Linked DNA regions of Caenorhabditis elegans. The protein of the gene in region 1 purifies or fractionates together with the protein of each later gene. This does not show direct contact. Each region holds a gene or a part of one and is shown on either strand. Other genes may lie near its edges.

Evidence for each region.
Region 2: the proteins of sec-10 (region 1) and tfg-1 purify together in Caenorhabditis elegans (affinity purification with western blotting, with the first as the bait; one study listed by BioGRID). This does not show direct contact.

What each region holds. Positions count from the first base shown.
Region 1 is NC_003282.8:7,775,965-7,791,363, reverse strand, and holds sec-10 (Exocyst complex component 5), read left to right. Parts: upstream 1-8,864; coding exon 8,865-9,053; intron 9,054-9,102; coding exon 9,103-10,206; intron 10,207-10,943; coding exon 10,944-11,176; intron 11,177-11,223; coding exon 11,224-11,812; 3' UTR 11,813-11,983; downstream 11,984-15,399. Other genes in the region: rsp-6 (putative splicing factor, arginine/serine-rich 6), read left to right, coding at 136-189, 243-373, 420-527, 967-1,119, 1,167-1,260; imp-3 (IntraMembrane Protease (IMPAS) family), read left to right, coding at 1,875-2,024, 2,076-2,234, 2,505-2,607, 2,825-3,025, 3,261-3,487, 3,541-3,623, 4,091-4,194, 4,243-4,479 and 2 more; tag-322 (uncharacterized protein), read left to right, coding at 5,810-5,966, 6,009-6,154, 6,329-6,451, 6,497-6,825, 6,874-6,998, 7,052-7,116, 7,191-7,292; tag-321 (Transmembrane protein 65), read left to right, coding at 7,539-8,069, 8,415-8,558; rpap-3 (RNA polymerase II-associated protein 3), read left to right, coding at 12,401-13,024, 13,074-13,343; swd-2.1 (Anaphase-promoting complex subunit 4-like WD40 domain-containing protein), read right to left, coding at 13,492-13,728, 14,162-14,452, 14,807-15,055, 15,102-15,227, 15,274-15,339. UniProt on the Caenorhabditis elegans protein: Component of the exocyst complex involved in the docking of exocytic vesicles with fusion sites on the plasma membrane.
Region 2 is NC_003279.8:14,095,693-14,111,471, forward strand, and holds tfg-1 (Protein tfg-1), read left to right. Parts: upstream 1-5,629; 5' UTR 5,630-5,673; intron 5,674-6,354; coding exon 6,355-6,535; intron 6,536-6,587; coding exon 6,588-6,733; intron 6,734-7,383; coding exon 7,384-8,517; 3' UTR 8,518-8,778; downstream 8,779-15,779. Other genes in the region: fbxb-100 (F-box associated domain-containing protein), read right to left, coding at 567-649; tdpt-1 (5'-tyrosyl-DNA phosphodiesterase), read right to left, coding at 2,011-2,140, 2,326-2,609, 3,800-4,031, 4,165-4,259, 4,932-5,152, 5,202-5,276, 5,340-5,391; dnj-29 (J domain-containing protein), read right to left, coding at 9,102-9,227, 9,368-9,472, 10,644-10,979, 12,170-12,661, 13,540-13,753, 14,373-14,616, 15,111-15,219, 15,280-15,516.

The DNA.
Region 1 (15,399 bases):
TTTATTGAAATCATTTCGCGCGCGTTGCTCTCGAGCTATCTCCGTTTCACACTTATTTTTGTTTCTCAATAATTATTTTTTGAATATTCAAACTTCGTTCTTTTGCAACTTCATAAATTAATTTGATTTTTCAGTATGGACGCCAAGGTGTACGTCGGCGGTCTGCCGAGTGATGCAACATCACAAGAAGTGAGTTCAATCTTGAGCCATTAACAGTAATTATGTAAATATACATTTTTCAGCTCGAAGAGATTTTTGATCGATTTGGAAGGATCCGTAAGGTTTGGGTAGCTCGTCGCCCTCCTGGATTTGCGTTCGTGGAATACGACGACGTTCGTGACGCTGAAGATGCTGTCCGCGCTCTTGACGGATCGTAAGTTGTTTGCTTTGGATATTCGTTTAATGCTTCAAAATTATAGAAGAATCTGTGGTGTCCGTGCTCGTGTTGAACTTTCAACTGGACAAAGACGTGGCGGTGGCGGTCGTGGTGGAGGTTTCGGCGGCCGAGGTGGTGGCGGAAGAGACAGGTTAGTTGAAAATAATTTGATAGTTAAAGGAAAAGAGAGCTGTATTAAAAATTTTATTCGGTAAAACCGTGGACCAAATTTTTAATTTTAGCGGACTCCGCTCGTCCGCGTCCCCATCTGCCATCCCAAACATCACTATCTTCCACTCCTCTCCGTCTTCTGTCTTCACGACACATTCTTCTCTTCCACATCGCTACGCGCCCTTTACTTCTCCCAAAATCATCGCACCAGAATTGTTTTTGACTCTTTTCATCAGTTAATTCTCCGCAGTAGTTCCTGAATCGAGCTTCTGACAAAATCGTCTCATCATGCCTTCGTCGGCTGAATCTTCCCATTCAGTAAGAAAGTTACATCTACCTTTCTTTATGCTGCCATCTGCAGGAAAGATGTATTCGACAAATATGCAATATTCGGAATGTTTTAACATTGTTTATTTCAGATCGCCATACCGAGGAGACCGTGGACGTTCCCGTTCACGCTCTCGTGATCGTGGACGTGATCGCAGCCGCGACAGAAGCCGTGATCGCAGTCGTGACCGAAGCAGAGATCGCAGTCGTGAACGCAGTCGCGAAAGAGAACGTACTCGTTCAAGGTAAGAGTTTTGGATATAGTTATTTAAATTTAAATGAGAAATTTCAGATCTCGATCTCCTCAAGAACGTGATCGTTCTCACTCGAAGAGTCGCTCCCGCTCTCGAAGCCGTTCTCGCAGCCGTTCTGCTTCTCCGCACTAAATTGTGGAAGATCCAAGACCATACAGTATCTTCTCCACAACATCAATTTGCAACCCTAATTCCTCCGAAGAATCTCGAATCAATGATTTAAAAAAGTTTTCACTAAATTTAATTTCTTTGTTGTTTAACCGAATTTTACCATTATTACCTTTCACTGTTCTGTCTTTTTTTATTTTGTTCCTCTTTTTGTAACCTAAAATCGTGAACTTTCATCCATTTTATAAACTGTTGTCGGAAAATAAAAGTAATATTTCGGTAATTTGTGAACGGGGAAATCCAGGGAGACCTTATTTTGTGCGACTTTTTGCTCTGTGAGAGCGTTTTCGAATGTGTAAACAACTGCTTGGAGAACTAGAGAGCAGCACGTGTTTGTGGTGCTCTTTAAAAATGTTGGTCACCGGCCAGCAGTAGAAGATTGATTTTCCCACACATTCTTTATTTCTCTTTATGTGTCGTCCCACCGGCAGCAACGCACGTTTCTTTTTTGTTTCGTATGGCAAAGGATAAACAGGTCTTTATATAGTACGGTTCTACTTGATTTCTCTTCGTCTCTTGCCATTTTTGTTTTCGTATCGTCTCACAGTTAGCACGTGCTATTCCCAGAAAGAAAAAGTATGTGTACTGATTCAAAAAAAGCTCAGGATTCGCCACCAAAAATGCGAGACGACGTGGCAAAGATTGCCGCATCGGCGAGCATTTTAATTCTTTCATGGATTGTACTTTATCACTCCTGTCGAAGGGCATCTACAATTTACTTTTTCGAGGTTAGTTTTTAATAAAATATATTTCTTTAAATTAATTTTAAAAAATTGCAGCTCGATTCAACAACTGTAATATTCATGGATCAGGTTCCTGCAATGATTCTCCCATTCGTTTTCTCTATAGTCTTGTATTTTGTATATTTGGGAACTAAAAGAAGCGCCAATATCGAACGAGACAGAGAAATTGCTAGAGAAGCTGAAAAAGAACTCAAGGTGATTCTACTAGGAAAATGCTGATTTAATTCAAAATTTAAAAAATACAATCACTAGTTTTATGTAAAATAGTTAATTTTTCGCTCTAATTCCCTTTCAATTGTTGAAAATATCTTTCGAAAACTTCTTGAGACTGTCATTCTTGTCAATTAAACTCGGTCTGGTAATCAAAATCAACCAGTTCAGCGTAATTCCCCTTGATTTGATTGATTAATCGATTCATTTCATGATGTGATTGTTTGTTTCTTCTTTAACAGAAAATTGTTTCAGACATCCTCTTCATTCAACTCTCGAAAGGTTTCCCGTGAGATCAGCAGGCGTGCTTCCGTTTCATTAGGAGATGAACAGGCAGAGCAACAGCAAAGAATTCGAAGTAAGATTATCAAAATTGAAGGAAACTGATAAATTTATCGTCCTATCATATCAAATTTCTCTCATTTATTTCGAAATTATACACATTTGTGTTCAGAAAAGTTCATTCTACAGTGAGAGAAATCTAGTAGATAGTAATTTCAAGTGAGCTCGAAATTTCCTTTAATGACCTACTTATAAATTTGATTCGTATATATATATAATTGTTATTTTTCTAGGATTGCTATCAGATATTGAAGAAGCAGACATCGAAAATACAGTTCGAAGCCATCGTCAACGAATGGAGGAAGAAGATATTGCACCGAAATATGTGGATGATAATGAAAGTGGACAAGATACACCTCCTCCAAGAAAGTTAACAAAATCGAGATTTGTAGTAGAAAGTGCAGAAGATGGCAGTAAAATTATTATTCCACCAGGTATTATTCCACCAATACAAGTGCTTTCAAAACTCTTCAGAATTTTAAAAAAGGGAAATAATATTGACATCCGAAATATATATTTTTGAAAAAATATTTTATCTCGAAAAGTGGAATTGACAATCAACTCTGTAATTTAAAAAAAACTACCGCAACTAAATCTTCAATAAATTAAATTTTTATGGAAATTTGTTTTTTTTTAATTATAATTATTTTAATCATATCACTTTTTCAGAATCGTCATCTGTTACACCAGAAGTTCGTAGTCGTACTAACTCAAAAAGTACTCATGATCTTATGACAACACACAGAGGATCTTCAAGCAATTGGATATCTGCAAGTCAACGATCAAGCAGAAAATCTTCAATGGGTGGATCACCAGATAAAAGTCAAATTGTATGGACTACCGGAGAAGAAGGTACGACGGCCGAGAAATGTGACATTTATAAAAAACTCGGAGATGTAAGTTTTCTGTTTTTTTAAATCAAATTTTAATTTAAATCATATTATTTCAGATTGACCTATTTTCCTATTCACTAAGTGCGTTGAGCCTACTTCCGAGGAGTGATGATGGACCCAGAGTTTACATTCAACTTGAGTGAGTTTTTATTTGATAAGGAGCAAAACAAATAGTGAAAATTGAACTAATAACAAAAAGTGCAAATGAAGATATTTATAAATTGGTGTTGAAAAAAAACATCTTAACCAGGCTTGGGAGCGTGATTTGATGAATATATTGGGACATTTTTCTTAATTATTGGTTTTTGCAGCTTGTAATTTCGAAACTTTTATTTCATAATGTGAAAACGTTCATTTTATTCCAGACACTGACAACTTCTCAAAAATTTTATTATGCAGAAAAAATAAATTCTAAAAAAATCCAAAATGTTTTGCCAACTCTAGACACCAGGAAATTTCATTTTAAAATTGTGCGAATACCCACTTTTGGAGCAAAAAAAGAATTGAAAAAGGATGCTTCATGGATATATATTTATGAAATACAATCAATAACTAAAAATTTGAATTATTTTATTGTTATCAAAACTTCAAAATAAAAACGTTCAGTTTGCTCGACATAATTGCTGAATTGTTTGCTGTTCATGTGCCTATCTGGGCATCCGTTGCATGTATTCATATAATTCTTTTGGAATCATTCAGTCAGCATATGTGTAAGTTAATATTTTTAAAGCTGAAACTCTAATCTCATAATTTTACAGCATTCTACTTTTATTATCATGAAGAATCAATGATGTACGCTTCTCTTCTTGTATCTCTCTCATTTGGACTTTATCATGAATGTTCTGGTAATTGGATCTCTAACGACATTCTTGCTTTTGCATCGATTTACGTCGTGTGTTCAAGAATTCAAGCTGTGAGCTATCAAACTGCAATTATATTTGTCATTGGAATGTCGCTTTTTGATCTTTTCTTCCTTTATGTGGTGGATCTTTTGAGTAAGTTACTGGAATCGTAGTCTTGCGTCCACGAAAACGCTGGAATGTTTGCCTTTATAAACTTCAGTCTCTGTATAAAAATTAGCAACTTTGAAAAATTAGCACCTGATATCGTGACGAGACCCACGCGGAAAACATCATGTGCCTTTAAACGGACATGACAAAATTTCGCGAAGTTACGATACATAAAATTGAAGTGTTCATAAACTGTACTAAACATTTTTTAAATTGTTTTACGAGACTGACTGAAATAAAATTTTCGATTTTGCGATTTTTTACATTGTTTACTTTTTAATATAGATGTTTTCAGGCACAGTAGTCAAAGAAAATCGTTCTCCTCTCATGATCCTTGTACCTCGAGACACAAAAGGAAATAAACAAAGTCTCGCTGCACTTGATATAATGGTTCCTGGAGTATTTCTAAATGTTGTTCTCAAGTACAGCTCAATGTATGATACAAATCTTTTTGCAATCACGTTTGCCGCAGTCTTTGCATCACTGGTTTTCTCAGTTTTCTTTTCTATATGGAGGTAAAAACTGTTTTAAATTCTACTTCTTACAAAATACTCTTTTAACAGATCAAAAACAACTCCGGCTATGGTTCTCCCAGCAATTTCTGCAATCATCTTTTCAATTGGATTTGCAAATCATACCGACGACTTATGGAAATTTATGATTAAACACTAACAATCGATTCAAAATTAATGTAAATAGATAATCTTACTTTTCTACATGCTTGTTCATATTCATATCTGTATTTAAATTGTTTATTTTGACTTCCGTGAAGATCAATAACTTTTCGTCTAGGGTACATTTCCACTTGCCATTTTTAATTCATCGTTTTTTCTGATGAATTATTTCTTAAAATAAAATGATTCTCGGATTTTTAGTTGGTTTTTTTAACATAAATAATCCAGTAAAGATGATCATAATGTATTCTTCGGAAATATATTCCTTCCGATCGGAATTCCATGAGAAGAAATAAAAAAATGACACAAAAACTGTTCCCGCAAGTGCGCTCTATCGAACGACCTATGTACTCCACTCGGAGAACTCTAGTGTTGAGTTCTTTCGGCAATTTCTCTCCTGTTTTTATTTGTTCTTTGCATATATTAATGATTTTAACGTAACATTTAATTAAACATTTTTTTAATAATATCAGCAAAATCCGCTGTCAAATATTTCATAAGATGTCACCACTTCGTCAGTTTTCAGTGACTGGTGCCAGCCTTCCATTCGATTATTTAGTGTAAACTTATTTGTTGTTTACTCCATTGAACACATTTTCTCTAATACCCCTCTTGAGCCAAATCCCGACAATTTTTCAGGAATGTCAGATGGAATAACTCTCGATTTTGCCAATCAAATTATCCAATATTGTGCAGAAATTCGAGAATTGTACGAAATTGAAGAATACGTCCGACAGCCGAATGACCATAATTTACTAGAGTTTCTTTATGATCTCAGTACTTTTTTGCTTGAATTAGGTAAGGAATGAAGATAATACAATTAATTTATTTCGTTTTCAGAATGTCCTCATGAAGAACTGACATGCGGTGATATTAGAACACGTTTCCAATCTTCATCAGCAAAGAAGCTTCTTGAAAGTTTTCTTGATTCAGAAGTCAAAACTGCTCGTCTCATTACTAGACAAAGAATTGAATCGGGTGAAATTGTAAGTTTTCTTTTGAAATATTGCATTTAAGTTGCCAAAACACAACTGGAAATATCTCGGATTTATCATTAATCACATTTTCTCAAATTTTTGCTTTATATTTTCTATTTAACTTTGTTTTTTCTTGCTTTTTAGTCTCAAGTCCCTCCACTTCGACCTAAATAATTCATTAAGGTCTCCGAAAAACGTGATCTCGAACTGACTCCACTTATTGATTCTGCCCTTCGAACACTCAACTTCCCTAAACAAGCAGGAAATTCTAATGAATGGAAACTCTTGGAAACTTTGAGACAAAAGGTATTAATAATTCATTGAAGAAACCCTCTCAAATTCTATTTTCAGACAGATGGACGCGTTTCCCAAAGTCAAAGACATCCACTTTTCAAAGCGACTCTTGATGAAAATACACTTCCTGAAATTGAAAAACAGTGTGAATCGTTTTCTCGTGATTTTTACAATCGACTTCTACTTCTGAACAGTCGACTCAAGGTCACAGTTGAATCATTTTTATGGAATGATCGCCTCAAGATGCACAGAGAGAATATTCAATCAATTCTTTCTGCTCGTGTCGATGAAATTGGACGAGTTAAAGCGAACAGTGACGTAGCTCATCTTCTTTCTGCAAGTTCTTCATTGCTCTATATTCAAAAAGCGTCATCTATGGATAGAAGGTATTTTTATAAAAATGTATGGTAAAAACTATGAAATTGTATTTTCAGAGAACGAACAAAAAGCAAACAACATCCACTTTCAATTATGGATGCTCCAAAAGATCGTGGAGGACGCACAGAAGAAATGGTTGGAGTGAAACAAGAATCTTTCAGACAACAACAACATACTTTTGGTAAGTTTACTCATTGTTAATTGCGGAAAATTTCTTGAAATAACTATTTTCAGATAGGCAACATTCCCAAAATCGACAAAAAAGTACTTTCGACCGTCCAAAAACTCACGAGGAGCAGGTTTGTTGTGTTCAATCTTTTTCTAGCCATTGTGGCGTCATTAAAACATTGCTCTTATCAACTGTCATTTCTAGGTTCTCGAACAACACACTTCACGAGACAATAGTGGACAAAATTGGAGAGGAAGAGGTCGTGGAAGAGGCAGAGGACGAGGAGGCGGACGCGGATATCATTGAAATTTGATGTTTTGTCGTTTCTTATTCTTTTCAATTCATTCGGTGTTTTTTTCAAAATGGGCTCACAGTTCCTTTTTGTTTTAATTTATGAAAACTGTTTATAAATTGAATGTTTTTCTTTTTTTTGAAAATGGTTGTTTTCCAGTCAAATCCCTCTCACTCGTTATTAATTATGTATTATTCGTTAAATTTATTGGTCTTCTCATAAGTTAAATTACAGACCACGGCTTGCCGAAAGGCAAAAAAATGATCAGCTCGCCAGCTCGTCTGGCTTTTGCCATGATCGGCAGAGCGAGCTCTCGAACGCTTCTAACAAACCATTCTGTCACAAGTATCCGTCTATCGACTACAGCAGCTTTCAAACATCTTGATAAACTGATAATTGAAACTCCAAATGATGCTATGGAAATTGCAAGTCGTCTGACTATCATTGAACAACAGATGTTGAAATCGGCGTTAGACGATTGTTTGACAAAGAAAGAAGATGGGAAAGTAGAAGAACTTACTCAAGAGCAAGTAAAAGGAATATTTCTAGTCAATTCTATTCCTTTTATTGGATTCGGTGTTCTTGACAACATGATTATGATCCTAGCTGGCGAGTATATTGATCAAAAACTCGGGGCCGTTCTAGCTATATCAACTATGGCAGCCGCTGCACTCGGAAATCTTATCTCGGATATTGCTGGCGTTGGTCTCGCGCATTATGTAGAGGTTGCAGTGCAACGAGTTGGAATTAAACATCCTGTTTTGACATCTCAACAATTGGACAGTGGAAAGGTGAAAAAGGATCTATTGATTGTTTTTCAAAAAATGATAAAAAGTGTTAAAAATTTTATTCACACTGAACTTCTGCCCGAATAAATTCAGTCTGCAGCTGCTGCATGCAGCAGGGGTACAAATTGTGCCAATGTGGCATGTTTTCTCAATTTTTTTCAATAAAATTTAGTGATAGAATTTAGAAAAATATTTGTTTTATCTGATAATGAAGTTGAAAATTGCCGATAAATTTTTGAACGTTTTTTTACCAGAAATGTTCAACTACTGAACGAAAATGAGAAAAATAATCGTCTTTTTTCACACTCTAGAATTTTTAACTCTTTAAATTTAAAAAAATGATTTCAGGCCAGGTTCACAACGAATGCTGCAAGAGCAGCTGGTTTAACAGTCGGATGCTTACTCGGAATGTTTCCATTACTTTTCTTCAGCGACGACGAAGACGATGAAAAAAAGAAGAAAAAAGAATTGAAAGCAACTAAGCTTGAATAGAATTAGAATTTCTCATTGTAAATATTTAACTTTTGTTCAAAATACCTAAATGTTTCTGTATATTGCATAATCTTGTCCCTCTGCCAATACTAGTCAATCATTTCTATTTCCCTGTATGCCATTTGCATTTAAAAATTCCCTGTTATTTGCTCAAACTTCAATGTGCTTTACTCTATTTTATTCTTTAGTATAAAACTATCAGAACTGATAAGGTTTGAATAGATTATTTAATTGGTTCTTTATAGCCGTCGTGTATATTTTATATTCAAAAGTGGTTTTTCATGCTTTAGGAACAAATAATTACAGATGAGTGGTGGACAATATGTGACATATGTACAGGATCTAGAACAGGAACCGTTCGACGCAATTGATCTTGTTGAAAAACTGGCATGGAGAATGACCGGAAGTGCTCAGACTATAAACGATCCGGTTTCTTTGAAAATGCGATTCGAGGAAGAAATTGGCAGTTTACAGATGCTTTGTGATCAGTTTCAGGTTATTTTTCAATTTTCTGTTCGCATTAAAAAAAAGTGGAAATTTTTAGAACAAAATCAATACTCTTGAAAAGCAAATGAACGAGGAAAAGAAGGATTATGTACAAAAACTTCACCGTCTTCACGAGAAAAATGGAGAAGCAATTGATAAAATGAAACAATTAGATCATACAATGCAAGCAGTCTCTACAAAAGTTGTTCATCTTGGTGATCAACTTGAATCCGTCGATCAACCACGTTCACGAGCTCATGATGCTCATCAATTGATGCAACATTTCGATGAATTCCTCTCAGATCAACCTCTCAATTCCATGATTTTCACTGATCCTGATAAGCTTCTCGAATCTGCCGATCTGGTGCATAAGCTTTATTCAATTTCTCAGGAACTCAATAAGGACAAATTTGCAAATGTTCAAGCTAGAATTGGACAAAGATATAAAGTTGTCGAAGACTTGCTAATCGAAGAATTCGTCAGATCTCAACGAGATGAGAAGAAAATGGCAGAAGTTGCGAAGATTTTGAGCGAGTTCAAAGGTTATTCGGGTTGCGTCGATCGATACGTCGATTTCTTGTGTCAATCAATTCATCCACGTGGCGATGGTGGAGAAATTCTAGCGGATTGCTTGCAATTATGTCGAACTCAACAACCAAGAATATCTGCAATATTTCCATCTCCACACACTGTTATGCAGAAATTGGTTCTGAATATTTTCACAGGACGAATGAAAGAAACAATAACTGCAAGACTTAGAGAATGTAAAGATACAGATGATCAAGAACATTATCTCCGTGATTTGGCATATCTCTATTCGAGCACTTTGAAAATGTGTAAAGAATTGGAAAAACTTCATATCAGCCCAGACAGTGCATTTTTATCAACTCTCACTGACTCTATTTTCCAAAGATACATAGCTACGTACTGCTCGGAAGAGTTGAAATATTTGAATGATCAATGTTCGAATCTCCTTCAAAGATTCTATGAATCAAAAAAACACGTAAAGAAACAAATTGGAGGTGGATTACACGAGTTGAAACGAGATGTGGCTGCAAGATTAATGAATGTGGAAACTTATGGAGGAGAGACTTTTGTCGCTGAAGATGTCGCCATTTCGATTCTTCAAGAAACCAAAAATGCGTTTGGGCGGGCAAATCAGGTACGAATTTTGATGTTTTGAAACTGCAAAAAATGAAAGAAAATTTTAAAAAGTTTGAACGCTCTCTTGTTATAACCTAAATCTACCGTACTCTCCTACGTGACGAGACCGTCGAACGGAAATTTTTAAAGCAATAATGAAGTAACAAGATTTTTTGCAACATTTTGCATAAATTCTTGGTACTTGATTCTTTTGCAAAAGGTTTAAAAATATCGTCAAACACGAAAAACTGATACAAATTCAAGTCTGAAACCCGCCTCGCCGAATTTTTCGATATTTCAAAGTAGTTTTCAACAATTCCAAATTTCAAATATTAGTGCTGGGTTACTGTAGTTTTCAAGAAAAAAAAACGTTTTGAGCTTTTTACGAGATTTTCAGTGTCACCTGTGGCTTTCAGCAAAAATTTTTCGACCAAAAAACGAAAAAATTCAAAATTTTTCCTTTTTCCGACTAAAAATCAACATTTTTGCAATAAAATTTGTATTGGTTCGAAAAAAACCAAGAAACCCATTTTTTTTCCAAAAGAAACCAATAAAACGGTGGGGTACTGTATTATTTTGTTTTAATTTTTCTTTAGGAATATTCAAAAAATATTCAAGTTTCCGAGTATATTTCCTAAAAATTGAGAGTTTTGAAATAATATTCGGAATTTTTTTCCAAGCTTCTTTCAAAATTTTAACGTATAAAAAACCTAGCATTTTTGCAAAAATAAATTCGAAATTTCAACTTTTTTGCAGTTATGTGACAAAGAAGAGCTGCCAAGACACGTGGAAAATATCGTAGACGTTCTATTAAAATATCTTTACGGAGAACATTTGGATTATGCTGTGGAGACAGGCTTGGCTGGAATTTCTCTTGCAGAATCAAAAACTGAACCACCTGCCTACTTTTTCTCGGTTGTTGCAAAATGTACCAGTGTCATTTTACTTATGATTAAACAATTTGAAGATCCCATTTTCCCTATTATCAAGTGAGCTTAATTTTTATTAGAAAACAAATAAATATATTTTATTTCAGAGAAACAATTGTCGAACCATCTGTTGCCAAGAAATGGCAACAATCTCTGCGTTCTTTGGAATCAAAAATGAGTTTAGGATTGGAACGGCAATTGAATTCAATCGTAGGATACGTGAAATTCTTGTTCAGCGAACAAAAGAAAACTGATTTCCGTCCGGATTCTCAGCAAATTGATATTCGAGTATCCCCACAATGTCAATTGGCATCTCGTTTTCTTGCAAACCAAGTTGCTGCAATGGAGTTGGGATGTGATGGCGAAAATTTGGAAGCACTTCAATCTGATCTTGCAACTCGGCTATTCAAATTCATGCTTACACATATTCAACAGTTCACATATAATTCTACTGGTGCTGTACTTCTTCTTTGTGATGTTGGAGAACTTCGAACTCTTGTATCAAAATGGAGAGTTCAAAATGCACTGACACAATGGGAAAGTCTTCAAGCTCTTACCAATTTGCTCGCCGTTCTTCCCGATCAAGTTAATGAAACAGCTCACTCCTCGTTGCTCGAAAATGTTGATAGACAATTGATTCATGATTTTGTTCGACTTCGAACCGATTTCCGATCTATTAAAAATTTCCAAATTTAGTTGTTCAAATATATTTATTGCCTTTTTCGATTTTTGTGAATGTCTATTTCTTATCCAGATGCTTTTTTCTTGTGATAGATTGGATTTTTAAACTTAATCTTGAAATTTTTTTAAATAAAAACTAACACTTAATACCGTTGCGGGTATTCTTGTAAATAAAATGCTTGCTTTTTTTTTTTAATATCTGTTTTTACCCAAGTTGGTAGATAATTCCATCGCATTGTTATTTGTTGTTACCAAATTGTGAAATGTTGCTTTTATTTAAAAAAAAAACGCTTTCTGCTCTCACCACGGAAAACAATTTTCAAATAAAGGCTGCGCTAGGGCTGACCCCAAAACACAAGAAATTAATTGTTTTAAAACCCAAAAAACCAACAAGAAAATTGTTTTTTCTCTTCTTTAAATTTTTAAATTTTGTTTTTTTATTCGAAAAACCCCAAAAAATCTAATAAGATTTCAGAATACTGATGAATGGGTTACTGTACTTGTAAAAGGTTTTTTCGTGTCTTGAATGAATAAAAAGTATTCTTGGAGATAGAGCTTACTTGTGAATTACCTTATTTTGAAATAAAATATTTCGTTTCAGAAATGGACGAAGAAAAAAAAATTGCACAACGTCTGAAAGAGCAGGGAAACGAAGCTTTTAAGAAGAAAAAGTATCATAAGGCTATGACAATCTATTCGAAAAGTCTTGAACATTGGCCTGATCCAATTGTATTCAGTAATCGAGCTCAAGCTGGGCTCAACGCAGATCTTCCTCTACTTGCCCAAATCGATTGTACTGCTGCACTAAATTTGGATTCAACTGCAGCAAAAGCTTACTACAGAAGAGCTCAAGCCTTCAAAGCACTGGAATTGTATGAATTGGCTGAAAGAGATATGAAAACTTGTTTCAAATATTCGAATGATCCAAATATGGAGAGACAAGCAAATGATCTGAAAGGAAAGAAAAATGTGCAAGTTATTGATCTTCCGTCAATCGAAAGAGACGAATATCTACAATCAGATGAAAAATTCACAAAAATCGACTTTACGTACAATATTGAGAAGATCGAGGAGATCATTGTCGCTGAAGAACCAGAGAATGATAATATTGTTCCAAAGTATATAACAAAGCTTCCACCACACCCAAAGGACTATCAAGATTTTGTTGGAGCTGTGAATATGTTGAAAAGAGCCCAAAGTTTGCTTCCTCTTGCAGAATATTTCTTAGTAAGTTGGAAATCTGTGACGTTTCAGAATTAATCGAAATTTGTTTCAGAATATCAGCATGGATAAATATTCAGAATTATTCGATGAACTCCTAGACGATGTATATGCTGTTCAAATCTTCAAGGCACTCAACTTTCATCTGAAAACTGGTCGCACGATTCCCCATCTCGCCGCACGAATGATGATCATCAGTGAACTCAGTCGTTTTGATCTTTTAATCGCATTTATGTCCGAAGAGCAGAAATCAACTATTACTGAAATCTTGGATTATATGGTTCCAGAAGAAGCAGCAATGGTGTCATCAAGATATTCTTTCTGATATTGAACTTTCTTCATTTCGAATCTCAACTTGTTGTTACATTCATATTGTTGTTTTTGTGAGTAAAAATTATAAATATCGTAATTTTAAAATGTTGAATCGAGATCAATGGGGAATGATTTGAAATGTGCTATTTGCATCTTTTTGTTTAAAGATTCTGAGTGTATTCTTCACTGGGTGCCCATAATATAACTTCTCGTCCTAAAGATGTCATCAGGAATTGTTTCTGATTGAAAGCAACTACATGTGACGGTTCAGGATAAGGAGTTGGAAGCTTGCAAGTCACTCCACCCGTTTCTGTTGAATAGATATAAACGTTTCGGTCTGCGCTTCCTACCATTACGAATCCAGAATCAGTGGAGACCGATGCTCGAAGTGGGATTTTCTGAAATAGAAAAGATAATTTTGTTTAAAAAATTATAATTTTTCAAGTTTTTTATAGAAAATAACATTCGAAATTCATATTTGCTCAAAATGTTTAAAGAAACGTTTATAATTGACATAACTTGATGTTTTTCGTCTTTTTGTAAAATCGTATTGTTGGCGAAAAAACTATTTTCGTTTTCGTTTTCGAAAAAAAAATTGGATTCAGTCCTGATTACAGTAACCCAACTCTCCTTAATTGAATTTTTTTTTCTTTTTCACATTTTGTTTTTTTTTTCATCTAGATTTTGAGGTATTTATTTTACTCTTGATATTTTTCACTAAAGTTTCACAAAAAAAAATGCCTTCGAGAGATATAACCCGCATTTTCGCTCAAAATCGCAAAACTTCGCTACTGAGTAACATTTAATTTTCGCTTATCAAAAAAAACTGACATTTGGATTTTTGTGTTGGGAAAAGCTGTGAATCAGTGTTCCATCGAAAGCATCAATCCATTTAACACTTCCAGCTGTCGTGGAAATTAAAATAAATTTCCCACATGGAGAAAACTCGATATCCGACCATTCATCATTATCAGTTTTAGTAATGATAAATGATTGGAATGGACCCAAGTCGAATGATCTCATGTCAAATAGTTTGATTGTGTCCGATTTTGTTGCAACAGCGAATAGAATTCCATCAGGATCAAAAGCAATTAGAGGAGTGTGTCCAGCTAGAAGGCATCCCTGGAAATAAATAATTGATTATTTATATATTGAATTTTTTACTGCAAAAAATAGTTTTTTTTAAATATTGAGTTGGATTAAATGGAAATTTTAGCAAAATATTTTGCTGTTAGGAAATCCAAAAAACCAAAAATACCGTAAAAGAAAGCGGAAAAAATCGAGATAGAGTGATACATAAATCCAACTTTTAAAAACGCGATTTTTCAATTTTAGCTAATCCTCCTTTTTATTTTCCTCCAAAATGATTCTTTCGCGATTTTTTTCGTTTTTCTTTAGTGGTATTTCTGAATTTGAGACTATTTGAGATATTTTGAAGCAAAATCCCCATTCACTTCCACTCCACAATTAACTTACATAGTTCTCAAAAGTTCTCGTATCAAACATTCGTATTTCTCCATCCACAGAACTTGACAAAAACTTTTCACGGTCTTTCGGATTTGTTCGTATAAAATTAACCGGCATACGGTGGCCATCAAAATAACGGACATATGATTTCTTTTGTAGATGAAGTAATCGAATTGTCGTGTCATTTGGACCACTGTGAACACATTTAACTGTGTCCAAGTATTCCAAACAATTGACTCCATATTTCTTACACTCTATCTGTGATATTTATAATTTAATACGATTAAAATATAAAATATCTCACTGATTTTCCTTTAGATCCATCTCGAAGATCATAAACAAGTACAACATCTTCTGCAGACACAATCAAATTATTTCCATCGTCTGAATATGCTAAATCGAGAAGTTTATTTGATGTTTCGTTGAATTTCTGAAGAAATTTATTAACATATAAACTTTTTTTCGTCGAATTTTACCTTCGAAGGTGTTAATGCTTTAAAAGCTTCTGGTTGAACTGTTATAAGCTCTTCATCATTGTACATCTGAATTGAAGTTACTTTTCGGTTTAATTTGATTGTAACAATATTCGAATAGTGAGAAAA
Region 2 (15,779 bases), on another chromosome or scaffold:
AGCCTAAGCCTAAGCCTGAGCCTAAGCATGAGCCTAAGCCTAAGCCAATGCCTTTGCGTAAGCCTAAGCCTAACCTTTTGCGTAAGCCTAAGCTAACGCTCCCCCACTGACGCCAAGCCTAGGTCTCAGTCTAAACCCTTAGCCTAAGCCTAAGCCTGAGCCTAAGCATGAGCCTAAGCCTAAGCCAATGCCTTTGCGTAAGCCTAAGCCTAACCTTTTGCGTAAGCCTAAGCTAACGCTCCCCCACTGACGCCAAGCCTAGGTCTCAGTCTAAACCCTTAGCCTAAGCCTAAGCCTGAGCCTAAGCATGAGCCTAAGCCTAAGCCAATGCCTTTGCGTAAGCCTAAGCCTAAGCCTAAGCCTGGACCTAAGTGTAAGCCTAAGCCAAAACTTCTTCCTAAGCCTAAGCCTAAGCTTCTTCCTAAGCCTAAGCCTAAGCCTTAGAGACAGTGAGCAAAACGTGTTGTAAATTTTTTTACCATCGATTTTTGCCGGGAAATTCAAATTTTAAACAGTTTCGGGCCCTAATAGCCTAAAATCTATAAATTAAGAATTTAAAGACTTACAAATCCAAAGTATCCATACATTTTAGGGCTATTCGGCGGGATTTCGGAGGAAGTGATAATATTGGAAAAGGTAGAGCAGGCATTGGCGGGAGGAAATATTGGAGATATGGTGACCCCTTTGCAGGCCAATTTGGTTGTCAGGGAGTGTTCTTGTCTTCTCTGCGTAGTCTCTAATAAGACGGACAGGTGGGGGGGAAATATCGATTCTCTAAAGAAAAAAAAATTATGGTGCATCGACCCCCCAGTCCTTTGGCAGCCTTACCTCCGGAAAACTCTAAATTTAAAATTTTTTTTCAGGCCAAATTAGTTTTAAAAAGACACGAAATCATCTGAAGAAACTAAAATTTAAAAAAAAAATAGAATTTTTTTTTTCTAAACATTTTCCAAAAAAATGCCCGAATGGCGCAGTGGGATTTCCGCCGGCTACCAATCACGAGACCGGGGTTCGAGTCCGCGCTGTGACAACTATTTTTTATTTTGCATGTTTTGTGAGTTTTAGGTAATTTTGAGCAATTTAAAACGGAAAAATCTAGAAATTTAGAAGGAAAAGTTTTTAAAAAGTCGAATTTATCAATTTTCTAGTTTTTTTTGCTTCTAAAAATTTCCAAACCGATATATTTATTTTTTCTGTGGCTAAACAACACCCCTAGAGGCCTAACATAACAAAATTTTCTGAGCAATTTTAAAAAAATTGTCCGAATGGCGCAGTGGGATTTCCGCCGGCTACCAATCAAGAGACCGGGGTTCGAGTCCGCGGCGTGGCGAATATTTTCAATTTTTTGCCAATTTGATGTGATTTTTAGCAATTTAAAACCTCAAAACCTAGAAATTTAGAACAAAAAGTTTTTGAAAGTTGGGTTTTGAGTCGAAATTATCAATTTTCTAGTTATTTTCTTCTAAAAACGATTTTTCCTATAGTTTAAGATAATAACAATCATCTAGAGGCTTATAAATCAGAAAAATCGAGTTTTAAGCTTTTCGAAAAAAAAAGTGTCCGAATGGCGCAGTGGGATTTTCGCCGGCTACCAATCACAAGACCGGGGTTCGAGTCCGCAATGTGGCAAAAATTTTTATTTTCTATTTGTAGTGGTTTTGAGATGAAATTTGTTATTTTAAAGCTCGAAATTTAAAAAATAAAATATTTTTTTATCCCAAAATTTCAATTTTCTAATTTTTTTAGGCGCCAATTTTTTTTTCCAAAAAATGAGCGATTTTCTATAGTTTTAAAAGAAAAAAAAAAGTGGATTTATTTACAATCAGTATCGAAAATCGAAGATCAATAAAAACAACGAGTTTTCAAAAAAAAGGGAGCTTAGATGAAAAAAAAAGATTAAAACCCGGTGACAACTGGGAGGTAATTCCTGGGTAAAAATAGTGAAAACCGGTCGAAAAACAAGTGAAAATGGGTAAAAAATGATGATTTAAGGCTTATTTAAGGCTTATTTCAGGCAAAAAACGTGGCATTGATAGCCCAATGATCAGATGGGAAGCACAAACAGGAACGGATGCGTTGGCGGCCTTCAAGTGTGAATTTGACTTTGTCCAGTGGTCCAGACCAGTATAGGCGGTCGAATCTGAAAATTTGAAGCTTTTTAGATTTTTTAAAAAATTGAAAAAAATCGATTTTTGTTTATTTTTTAAAAAATGATCGAATGGCTCAGTGCGCTTTTCGCCGTCTACCAATCACACGACCGGGGTTCGAGCCCCCGGTGTGGCAAAATATTTTTTATTTCTTTTTTATTTGTCTCTTCGCTTTTACCTCATCTTAGCGCCATGGAATCCCTGTTTATTGTCATTTTTGAAGGTGTCCCACGTGAATTTTGTCTTATTATCACTGCCGGCAGCCTCCCAGGCATCCTTAACACCGTCAGGCACACGGCTGACCTCCTCGTCTCGTAAGTTCAAATCGCCGCCGAAAAAGACGAGGGCGCCCGGGTTTTGAGCGATGATTTCACGGACTTTGTCCATGCAGAAGCCGAATTGAGCACAACGTTGCGGGCGGTGCTCACGTGTTGATTCGAGATGGGTGTTAAGTAGGAATACCTGCAAAAAACGAGAAAATTGGTTGAGGCTCAGGCTACAAACTACAAAAATTTGTTAAATTTGCCGAAAAGCGAATGATTTTAATAGAAATGTTCAGTTTTCTTTCAAAAAAATCAATTAAAACGAGGAAATTCTTCAGTTTTTTTTCGGGAAAGTGGTTGTGGCTCAGGTTACAAACTACAAACTCGGCTTAGCCTCACCAAACATTTCCGAAGCGAAATCTGATGAAAATACTCGAAATTTCCCTCATTTTTCTTCAAAAAAAGCTCCAAATTTTCAAAATTCTAGGGATTTCCCTCAAAAATCAGAAGAAAAACTGAAAGAATCAGGGTTTTAACCAGAATTCCGAAAAAAAAATTGGTTGAGGCTCAGGCTACAAACTACAAAATCGGCTTAGCCTCACCAAACATTTCCGGAGCGAAATCTGGTGAAAATACTCGAAATTTCCCACATTTTTTCTCAAAAAAGCTCAAATTTCCATAACATTTCATGTATTTCCGACAAAAATCATTGAAAAATTCAAAAAAATTACAAATAAAATTGATTGAAGCTCAGGCTACAAACTACACATTTGGTTAGCCTCACCAAAGTTTCAACGAATTTTTTTCGAACTCACACTACATACTGTGATTTTCAGCTAGAAATTGCAGAATTCTGATTGAAAAAAATCAATTATATCTCGAAAATCTTACAACAAAAAAGAGATTTTCAGGAAGACATAGGGATTTTCCGTAAAATTTGACCGAAAATTGATTTTAAAACCTGAAAATCTAGATTTTTTCAGTGGAAAATCCCATTTTCTGTAAAAATTTGAAGTTTTTTGCAAGAAAAACAAGAGGGAAAACATTTGAGGGGAAAAATTGGTTGAGGCCTACACTACAAACTACAAATGTGGTTAGCCTCAACCAATATACATTTTGCTCGATTTTAAGGTATTTTTTGCGGAAATTGATTGATTTTTACGGGAATTTTTATATTTTGTTTTGAAAAAATGGATTAAAATGCGAGAATTTTTCAAAAAATCTTTTTTTTCAGTAAAAAACTGAAAAATTCGATTATTGCGATAAAAATTGATTGAGGCTCAGGCTACAAATTACAAATTTGGGTAGCCTCAACCATCATTTTCACTCATTTTTAGCGGTTTTCCGGGATTTTTTCTTAAAATTTCGTCTATTTTCTGAAAAATTAACCTTCAAACCGCCAATAGATCCCTCCAAAATCTGCAAAGTTCTGTACATTCCAGAATTCTGAAAATGAATGACGTCATGCTTCTCGACGTCGAACATTTTCGACACAAGAATCGCCGTATAATATTGGCAGCCTTTGTTCGAATAATAGATTTTATACAGCGATTGAAGCTTATCAATCGGCGCCAAATCACGGTCGACGACTTCTTGGAGGAATAGGATGTCCGGATTGACGCTGAAATTTTTTTTTGGCGTTTCAGGTTGATTTTTGAAGATTTTTGACGGTTTTTAGTGATTTTTTTGCTGATTTTGCATCAAAATCAACTAAAAATTTGAAAATTCCGTGAAAAATCGCCGATTTTGCTCACTTTTTGACAATATGAGCCACTGCTTTCATTCTTGTGAGCAAGCTTCTCCCGTCGAGCCCATCAATGTTCCACGACATTACGCTGACTTCGAATCCCTGAAAAAATTTGAAATTTGTTGGAAAAATCGCGAAAAAAGTGAATTTTTTTTTGGTGAGGCTAAGCCGAGTTTGTAGTTTGTAGTCTTAGCCTCAACCAATTTTTTTTTCGGAATTCAGGTTAAAAGCGTGATTTTTTTCAGTTTTTCTAAAGATTTTCGAAGGAAATTCATGAAATTTTATGGAAATTTGAGCTTTTTTGAAGAAAAATGAGGGAAATTTCGAGTATTATGCTTCGGAAATGTTTGGTGAGGCTATACCGATTTTGTAGTTTGTAGTCTTAGCCTCAACCAATTTTTTTTCGGAATTCCGGTTGAAAGCGTGATTTTTTTTTAGTTTTTCTACTGATTTTTGAAGGAAATCTATGAAAATTTATGGAAATTTTAGTTTTTTTGATAAAAAATGAGGAAAATTTCAAGTATTTTCGCCAGATTTCGCTTTGGAAATTTTTGGTGAGGCTCGGCCGATTTTGTAGTTTGTAGCCTGAGCCTCAACCAATTTTTTTTTTCGGAATTCCGGTTGAAAAAGTGATTTTTTTCAAATTTTCAATGATTTCTGTGAAAAATCACTGAAATTTTACGGAAATTGCAGCATTTTTGAGGTTTTTTAACTCGAAAATCGATGTTTTTAGGTGGTTTGGCTTGATTTTGCTCCAAATATTCTTCTATTAACCTTCAAATCCTCTGCCGTCATCACCGCAGCTCCAGAGCTCGCCATAGACGATGAAGCGCCCATTACGGCCGCACTTCTGGCCTCTGCGAACGCCTCACTCCCGTAAAAAACGTCCAGAGCCTTCTTCAAATCCCAGTCTACATCCTGTAAAATCGACTGCGCAAAAGCCTCATCTGTGGCCGTGATTATTGCAAATTCATGCAGTTTTTGCTCGTCGCTCACTGAAAAATCGCGGATTTTCGCCTTAATTTATTGATTTTTCGGGTTTACTCGACGAATTTTTCAGTTTTCCTTGCTCCGGCTCATCTAGAATCTCGATTTCGACCTCGGAATCTTCTTGGGACACTGAAATATATTTTATTTGATTTAAAATTCAAATATTTTGAATTTCCAGCTGCAAAGCCTTACTTTTCTGTCGTTTAGCCTCAATTTCCTGTATTTCATCGTCAGAATTCGACATTTTTGAGCTGAAATTAGAGGATTTTATCATATTTTTTCAGAAAACGCGAAAAATCCACACGATAACTATTGAAATTCAAAAAATCGCGAAAAGAATAACTGAAAAGGCGGAGTCTAGCCGGGGGGCGTACCCTATTTGCAATCCTGGCACGCGTGTTGCAACTGCGGCGCACTTTTACCGAACGTGGAATTTTATATCGCGGATTTGGATCGTTTTTCTTCCCGTTATTTTCCCATTTTTCCTTGGTTTTCTTGCAGAAAATCCATAAAAATAGCAAGAAAAGTGAGTATTAGAGGTTAAAATCGATATTTTCACCATAAAAAAACCCCAGAAAACCGGCAAAAAACGATGAAAATCCGTGTGGAATTTTTTTAGACCTAGTTTCGCAATTTTTTCAATATTATCTTGAAGATTTTGATCTATTTTCGTGATCTTTACTTATTTTATGTGCCATATCCCGATTTTTATACCGAAAACCCGCGAAAATCTAGAGATTCCGATGGAATTGCTTTATTATATTACACGTGGAACTATTTTATTTCTTGATTTCTGCCGGTTTCTTGCTTTAAAATCTTAGAAAATAGCGTTTCAAGTGGGTTTTAGAGCCGAAAATTTAGATTTTCGATAGGAAAATCGCCTAAAAATCGATGAAACCATATTTTTGGCCTACTCCCGCTCTAATTTTGAAACTTTGATCTCGTTTAGGTCGAATTTCAACTAAAAAGTCGAATTTTCCTGTCAAAACACATGAAAATCCAAAATTTTCGTAAAAATATGAGCTCCGGATAAACTTGGGTGAGGCTGAGCCAATTTCGTAGTTTGTAGCCTGAGCCTCACCAAAATTCGGATTCTGTGTTTAATTCTTGATTTCTAGTTGATTTTCGCCGGTTTTTTTTTGCTTTTTTCTTTCTTTTTCTCCCGCAAAACCCAATTTTCCCTTTAAAAAACCCCCGTTTTTTCCAGATGGTGCATTCAAACGGAGCCATCACGAGCACAATTCTGAAGGCTCGTCACGCCGACGTCGTCCGCAAGACGTCACTTCACCACGCCAACGACTTGACACTCATCGATCTCGTGCTCAATGTGCAGCGGCTTTTGGCTCTCCCATCCGACGCGAATTTCGTGTTGAAGTACAAGGATGAAGGTAGGAATTGCACTGAAAATTGCGATTTTAATTCAATTTTTGTCAATTTTAGAAGGCGATTTGGTGACACTCGCCGAGGATAGCGACCTCCTGCTGGCTCTTCACACGTCTGGAGCCACGCTCGACGTGACCGTCGTTGTCGACTCGAGAGCTCGTGAGGCTGTGCACGATGTGCAGAAGCAAGTCGAGCAGATTAAGGTAAGGAGGATTTTGAGCGAAAAAAAACGATTTTTGAGCTGAAAAGCGCAATTTTGAGCGGGAAAATGCAAAATGTTGCAGAATTTTCATCGAAAATGCTGCATTTTTGAGCTTTTTAGACAAAAAAAAATCCGGAAAAACACTGAAAAATGTTGGTTGAGGCTAAGAAACAAGTGTAGTTTGTAGTGTGAGCCTCAACCAAACTAGCCAAAGCTTGAGTGAGGCTATGGTGATTTTGTAGTTTGTAGCTTTAGCCTCAACCAAATTAGCTAAAGCTTGAGTGAGGCTATGGTGATTTTGTAGTTTGTAGCTTTAGCCTCAACCAAATTAGCTAAAGCTTGAGTGAGGCTATGGTGATTTTGTAGTTTGTAGCTTTAGCCTCAACCAAATTAGCTAAAGCTTGAGTGAGGCTATGCAGCTTTTTTTTGTTTATAGTGTGAGCCTCAACCAATTTTGTTTTTAAAATTCACAAAATCTTTGGTTTTTCACTGAAAAATTGGAGAAATTTCAGCGTTTTCATTGATTTTTAAACAAAATTATCCAAATAATCGGTTTTTTTTTTCAATATTTTTAACACAAAATGGCTAAAAATTGGAATTTCTAGTACTACAGCTAGCGAAAAACGAATTTTAATTCAATTTTTCTTTCAGCTTGATGTTGGAAAGCTTCTTGGCGCTCTCAGTGCTCTCGACGTTGCCCAGATCGCCGAACAATCGAACACATCGGTGGCGAATCTCTCGGCTCCAAAACAATCTCACCACGACAATATTGTGTTCCAAAAGAGCTTCGAAGCGGCTCCACCATCGCCAGTGCCTTCCGAGAAGGCCGAGCTCCCGGCGACGATCCAACCGTCGGTTCACGAGCAATTCAATCATCGCCCGGCGCACGTTGAGGAGGAGATTCCGTTGGAGAATCACTATGCTCCACCACCACATCAGCAAATTCCCGATGATCTGAACACTAGCTTCAGCTCCCAGCCACCGCCACCAATTGAGCAATTCGGAGCGATTCCGCCACCGAACGCGACGATCCCGTCGTTCCCAACGTCGAATGCGGCGAGCCCACCAGTTCAGGAGTTTGCTCCACCGCCTCCACAGCAGCAGCAGCAACAATTCCAGGCTCCACCACCACCGATGGCGTCGCACTCTTCGATCTCGTCGACTCCAGTGCAGCAGCAAGGATTTGCTCCACCGCAGCAGTTTGGCGGGCCACCACCGTCTGGACCACCATCAGAGTATGGAGGATATGCTCCACCACAGCAGCAGCAGCAGCAATTCGGAGCCCCACCACCGCAGGGAGCTCCCCAGCAAGGATTTGGAGCACCGCCACAAGGGCCACCACAGGGAGGACCACCACAAGGATCCTTCGGAGCTCCACCACCCCAGCAATTCCATGCTCCATCACCACAATCGTTCGGAGGGCCACCGCCGCCAGTATCAAGTGCTCCAGGAAACTTTGCCCCTCCACCACAATCGGGACCACCGGGCGCTTTTGCTCCACCACCATCCGCCTTCGGAGCACCACAGGGGCCGGGAGGCCCAGGAGGCTACGGTCCACCACCGCCAGGAGGCCCAGGAGCCCCAGGATCGTACGGACCACCACAAGGAGGCCCAGGAGGATTCGGACCACCACCTCCAGGAGGCCCAGGAGCCTACGGACCACCGCCAACCGGATTCCCACCAGTCGGAGCACCGCCACCGGGAGCCGCCGGAGCCCCGGGAGGAAATCCATTCGCACGAGGACCATCTGCCACGGGATACCGCCAGTCGCCGTATCAGCAGTAATTAATCGATAATTTATTGATGTTTTCTTCTTTGTTTGTTTGATTCCCATAATTTAAATATTTTATGTTTTCCCCCGTCCTTCCCCCCTAGTGTACAAGTTTCCTTTTCTACTCGCTCGCCCCTGTTTCCTTGTGATATAGCGCTGGAGCGCCTTTTCTCTTTTCCACGTGGAATTCACATCAATTCTTGTCGTCTTCTCTCTCTCTTTCTCCTTTTTTTAGTGGTATATAATATTTATGATATGAATTTAAAAAATCTCGGGCTCCTGTCTCTGAAATTCTTTTTAATTGAAGCATAGAAAAAAGGGTCTAAATTTCATGTAACTATGTAGAGGAAACATTTTCAAAAGTGATGTGATTGGTGGGAAGGGAATAGAAATAATAATGCATAGGGAACACGAAAACATACAAATTTTTTTAAATAAAATATTTAATTTAATTACTTTTAGAAGAACAGAAAACCCAGTAGAGAAATTGATTGAAATTTTTTTGGAGAAAAGTGCGGGAGAACAATGGGGGGCCACTGAAGAAAAATTGAAAAATAAATTAACGAATAATTTGGAGAGCAATTGTTGGAGCATTTCGCTACTCTTCATCCGAGTCATCGTCTTCTGTATAATCATCGTCCGACGACACTTCGACGGCTTCATCGTCCTCATCCACGTAGTCGTCGTGCTTGATTTCGACGAATTTCGCCTCTTTCACGTCGATCTGCAATAATTTTGAATTTATTGTTGAGAAATTTGCTGCTTTTTGTGTCGAAAATGGATTTTTTGAGGAGAAATTCGCCTGAAAATATAATTTTTTACAATTTTTCGCATTAAAATCCGTCATTTTCAATCAAAAATCACCTTAAAATCAACACTATACTCCGCATCCATATAGGAATCCGATTTGACCGACAAATTGTACGTGTAGATTCCTTTGTGTGGTGGAGCCGCGAATCGAATGTCAATCTGAAAGAAATCAATAGGAATTTAGTGGGAAATGGAGTTTTTAGTGCAAAAATATGCCATTTTTTGGGGCGAAAACTTCAAATTTTGGCATAGTTTTGCCAAAAAAATCGTCAAAAACGTAGGAAAAAATTGTGGTTGAGGCAGATTCTGTAGTTTGTAGCCTGAGCCTTACCTAACGAAAAATACAATTTTTTTCTTTTTTATCTGTAATTAAGGAAGGAAACAACAAATTGTTTAGAAAAATTGATCGTTTTTAGCATTTTTTTTCTAAAAAAAATCCATAAAAATTTCAGAAAATCCCGATTTTTAACCGAAAAAGCATTAGAAATATTGGTTGAGGCTCAGACTACAAACTACAACTCCCATTAGCCTCACCCAAATTGGTTGAGGCTAAACCGATTTTGTAGTTTGTAGTGTAAGCCTCACCGAGATTTAGTGGGTTTTAAATCGATTTTTCAACTAGAAAATGCTGATTTTAGGATAAAATCCTTCAAATTTATAGGTTTTCAACGCTAAAATTCGAATTTTCCTTCAAATTTCCAAGAAAAATACTCAAAAATCGACATTTTCCGTGTCAAAGTCCTTCAGAAAATCCCGATTTTCAACCGAAAAAGCATTAGAAATATTGGTTGAGGCTCAGACTACAAACTACAACTCCCATTAGCCTCACCCAAATTGGTTGAGGCTAAACCGATTTTGTAGTTTGTAGTGTAAGCCTCACCGAGATTTAGTGGGTTTTAAATCGATTTTTCAACTAGAAAATGCTGATTTTAGGATAAAATCCTTCAAATTTATAGGTTTTCAACGCTAAAATTCGAATTTTCCTTCAAATTTCCAAATTTTCAAATTTCCAAGAAAAATACTCAAAAATCGACATTTTCCGTGTCAAAGTCCTTCAGAAAATCCCGATTTTCAACCGAAAAAGCATTAGAAATATTGGTTGAGGCTCAGACTACAAACTACAACTCTCATTAGCCTCAACCAAATTTGGTTGAGGCTAAACCGATTTTGTAGTTTGTTTGGTAAGCCTCACCGAGATTTAGGGGTAAAAAATCGATTTTTCGACTGGAAAATGACGAATTTTAACTCAAATTCGTCAAAAATCAACATTTTCCGGATCAAAATCCTCCAAAAAACCAGATTTTCAACTCAAAATCCTTCGAATTCGTACCGTTTGCTCATCAATCAGTGTTTTAACGAGTTGTGGGAACGTCAGCAACTGCCGAGACTTCTCCTTTTTATCCACATATGCTACCGTTATCCACCACCATTCGAATTTCTCAGTCGGGAAGAACGGAGCATGAACAGTGTGAGTTTGTGTGTTTTTCGTCTCGAATATCGATTTTTTGCTATTTGCCACGTCATCTTCCCATTCCGAATCGGTTTGATCATCTTTTTGATCTCCTCCGGCGGCGGCGGCTCCGTCCTTCTCCGAATCAGAAGCTCCCGATTCTTCATCTTCAGAATCTGAAGCCTTCGAATTTTTTTCGTCATCATCGTCTTCTTCCTGGAAATTGAGTTAAAAATATCGAAATTCCCGATTTTCTACCGTGAGGCTCAGACTACAAACTACAAAACGCTTTATTAGCCTCACCCGAACTGGTTGAGGCTAAACCGGTTTTGTAGTTTGTAGTGCAGTAAGCCTCACCGAGATTTAGGGGGTTTAAAATCGATTTTTCAACTAGAAAATGCCAATTTTTGGATAAAATCTTTCAAATTTATAGGTTTTTCAACGCTAAAATTTGCAATTTTTCCTCAAATTTCCTGGAAAAAATCGGATTTTTAACTTAAATTAGTCGAAAATCGACATTTTCCGTGTCAAGAACAATTAAGCCTCAGTAAAAAAAACTATTTTTTAATACAAATTTCCCATGGAAAACTGAAATTCAGCATTTTCCGGCGATTTTCTAGAGTTTTTAATGATTTTCTGTGAGAAAAAATGCAAACTTTGGCTGAATTTTATCGAAAATTCGATTTTTTCAAGCATTTTCACTGGGAGTAGCTCATTTTGGCAATTTTTTAACAAAAAAACTGCTACTTTTCTCAAAATGTTCTAGAAAAATTGCTCAAAAATATAGTTTTTAGTGTGAATTTTGCTTTTTCAGTTCAAAATTTCCAGAAATGTTGGATTTTTCAGAACAAAATTGTGATTTTTAGTTAAAATTAGTGGATTTTTTTGTAATAATTTTGTAAAGCCAGGATTTTTTATTACAAAAATCGCCAAAAATCCAATTTTCAGGGTGAAAATCGGCTAGAATTCAATTTTCCTTGTTAAAATTATCAAAATTCCAGCGTTCTGTCTGAAAAAACACGAATTTCTAAAACTCTCTACATTTTCGCTGGAAAATTGTCAAAAACTCAATTTTCAAGGAAAAAAAAAAGCAGAAATTGCAATTTTTCAGGGATAATTATCAATAATCCAGTTTTCTCAACAGAAAATAGGCCAAAATTCGATTTTACGGGTAAAAAATCGCCAAAAATCCGATTTTCACGATGAAAATTTGTGGGAAAATCGATTTTCCTCACTTCCAATCTCCAATCTACAAATTTATGTATATTTTCGCTGGAAAATTGTCAAAGCTTCAGTTTTCGAGCAAAAAAATTGCAGAAGTTGCAATTTTTCAGGGATAATTATTAAAAATCAAGTTTTCAAGAGATTTTTTTCGCAAAAATCGTCCAAATCTCCTCTCTCAGCACCTTAGCCTCCTCCTTCAAAGCCTTCTCCGTGTCAGGTGAAGCCGGGGCGTTCTTCTTCACAAACTTCTTCTGGCCCTGACCTTGAGCCTTCTTTTTCTTCTGTTTCGGCTTATTCTTCTCCCACGGCTTCCGTTTCTTCACTTCTTCCTCCTCAACAGTAGCAGCAGCTTCTTCTGGAGCTTCCGATGCTTCCAACTCATCATCTCCACCATCTTCCGCATACTTTTTGTACTGATCAGCGAGCCCTGCTTCTTGTGGATCAATTAATCGGCTTCTTCTCATCGTAACTTTCAGTGTAACTACACATCCAGCCGTCAGTTCATGCTTATCATCTTCTCCTTCTACAACTGTCTTCGTCTCGATTTGTAGACGTGGCATCATTGATAAAACGACCATTACGTCACGATATTCCTCATTTGATAGGGATCGAAGGACGGAACGACGGGTTTCTGCATCCATTACAGCTAGGTCATGGCACGAGAATACACGCTTCTGAAATTAGTGGAAATTAGTGAAAATTTGTTAAGAAAATCGGGGTTTTTTCATTTTTTTCCTCTAAAAATTAAAAATTCCCCGAATTTCCAGTGATTAAATTGGAATTTTCATGATTTTTAGATTTTGAAAAAGCGTTTTTAGAGTACAAACTTAAATTTTAAGCGCTGAAAAAATATATTATTGCAAAAAAATGTAATTTTTCAAGAATTTTAGATTTTCATCGCTCTAAAATCTGATTTTTTGTCGGAAAATCGAACTTTTTCTTTACAAAACGCATAATTTAGTTTAAAAATGAGCTATAAAATGATTTTTTCGACGAAAACTGAAATTTTTAATGGAAAAATGGCTCAATTTCACCGAAAAACCACTTGTTTGAAGGTCTTTTGCTCAAAATTTTACATTTTTATCGTATTTCACAGAAAAAGAGACAAATTTTCCAGTAAATTCTCAGAAAAATTAGTATTTTTGACGTATTTTGTTTAAAAAATAACAAAAATTGTTGGTTGAGGCTAGAGGCTACAAACTACAAAAATACAAATTGTCGTAGCCTCAACCAATTTTTTCGGCGAAAAACGGCTTGAACCGTTGAAAAATCGATATTTTTCGACGAACAACAGACAGAAAATTTGAAAAAATTCGTATTTTTCGACGAAAACTGCACAATTTCCGAAAAAAAAACATGGGAAAAATTGAATATTCAGACTACAAACTACAAGTTGGCGTAGCCTCACCAAAAATTAATGAGTTTCGGTTGAGGCTCACACTACAAACTACAAATTTCTGACTTAAAATTTTCATTTTTAGAGCATTTTTCATCAAAAATAGCTCATTTTTAACGGTTTTTTCGACAAAATGGCTTATTTTCCGGCACAAACCTTTCTCAAATGCTGTAAATTGTAGTCTGTAATGTGTGGAAGCTGAAGCAACGGGCTATTCTTTTGCCAAAGCGCCTGAACGAACATTGGTTGCAATTTCAGAAGATTATCGAACGTTTCGATGGAAATCTTCGTGTGTTGGGAGTAGTTCATCAGATTTTGCGAGCAATTCACCATTTCTTCGACGAAACGCAGAATTCGGGTGATTATGTAGCTGAAAAATGGGTTTTTTTGGCGATTTTTGGAGGAAATTTCGAGATTTTCAATTAAAAATCGGTATTTTAAAGCGGTTTTTATCGAATATTCGCGAAAAATAGTGAAATGTTGGCAATTTTAATGCTATTTTCAGAAAAAATGCATTACAAATGAAAATTTTAATTCAAAAATTTGTAATTTTGGTTGAGGCTACGCTAACTTGTAGTTTGTAGTCTGAGAATCCAATTTTTCTCACTTTTTTTCGAAATTTGAGCAGTTTTCGTCGAAAAAGATCAAATTTTACAAATTTTCTGGATGTTTTTTTGTGGAAAAATATGAATTTTAACACATTTCAAACCGTTTTTCGCCGAAAAAAATTGGTTGAGGCTACGACAATTTGTAGTTTGTAGCGTGAGCCTCAACCAAATTTGGGTGAGACTCCCAAACTGTGTAGTTTGTAATGTAAGCCTCAACCAATTTTTATCACAAAATCGCCAAAAATAGTGAAATTTTGGCAATTTAAATTATTTTTCCAGATTTTTTTCGCTTTTCGGGTCATTTTTCATCGATTTTTATGAATTTTCCATCAAAATTGTGCGATTTTTATGCTTTTTCCTGGGTTTCCATCAATTTCCAACCTCTGATCCTCCTCCAACGCATCATTTTGCGATTCCAGTGGTAATCTCGACAGATACGCGTGTAAAAGTACACGAGATTTCAGTGCATACGGTTGGCTCAACGGTTGCTCTTTTCCCTTATCATTAACACCGGCAATCTGTTTCATGAGCCTCGGAACCTCATAATCATCAGTTTCTCGTTCCTGAATCTCCTTATTGTACTGTTTGCTGAATTCGAAGGATCCAGAGAGCACGGCGATCATTCCTAAAATTAAAAATAATTGATTTTCAGGGTGAAAATGTATTTAAAACTTGGCAAAAATGCTGAAAAACCGAATTTTTAGCTTTGAGATTAATAAATTTCCAGAAAATTTGGATTTTCCAGCACAAAATTGCGATTTTCTGTTGAAATTAGTGGTTTTTTTTTTGTAATAAATTTGAATTTTTTTTTCGTGGAAAACCAGGACTTTTGTAAAAATCGTCAAAATTTGAGTTTTTTGCCCAAAAAAATTGCCAAAAATCTGATTTTCTGGGTGAAAACCAGTCAAAACTCAAGTTTCCTGCATGAAAATTGGCAAAAATCCGAATTTCTTAGCGGAAAATCGTCGAAAACTTTCAAAATTCCATTATTGTATGGAAAATTGCCTAAAAATCAATTTTCAGGATGAAAAATTGCCAAAAATCCGACTTTCTGGGTGAAAAATCGCCAAAAAAGCAATTTTCTGGCTGAAAATTTGTGGAAAAATCGATTTTCCTCACTTCCAATCTCCATTCTCGGTGTCCGATTGATGAAATAATAGTACATTCGTGTGGTGTCCAGAAGAACCTTGTCAGCGCTGTATTTGATCGAGCTATACCACCACATTCCCTGAAAAATCGATTTTTCGCGAAAATTTCCAATTTCCGCCATTTCCAGCGCCAAACTCACAACAGAAACGGGCAAAATGATCATAAAAATGAGCCCATAGAAAGCGAGCACCCAGAGTCCGTATTCTTTGCTCACAAGCCATTTGGGCAGAGCAATTCCGAAAGTTGTGGCAGTTGGGCCGTCTGGATTTCCGTATTTTTCCCAGTTTTCGCGAGCTTCTTTATCGGTGAGAGCCTGGTGAGCCTTGGCGATTTTATCGAAGAATTGAGCGTCTCCTCCACGATCCGGATGGTGAATCTGCAAAAAATTGGGTAAAAATTCCAGATTTTTGAGCATTTTTGTGGGGAAAAAACTGAAATTTCAGAAATTTTAAGGCGAAAACAGGGCAAAAATCATGTTTTCCCGAGAAAAACTGTCTGAAATTCAATAAAAGTGCCCGAAAATTCAGTTTTTGGGTGAAAATTGCAATAAAATTTGGGAAACAGTGGGCTTTTCCAGTAAAAATAGCCAAATTTTCAGTTTTTTGGCGAAAAATTATGATTTTTATGGTACTTTCCACA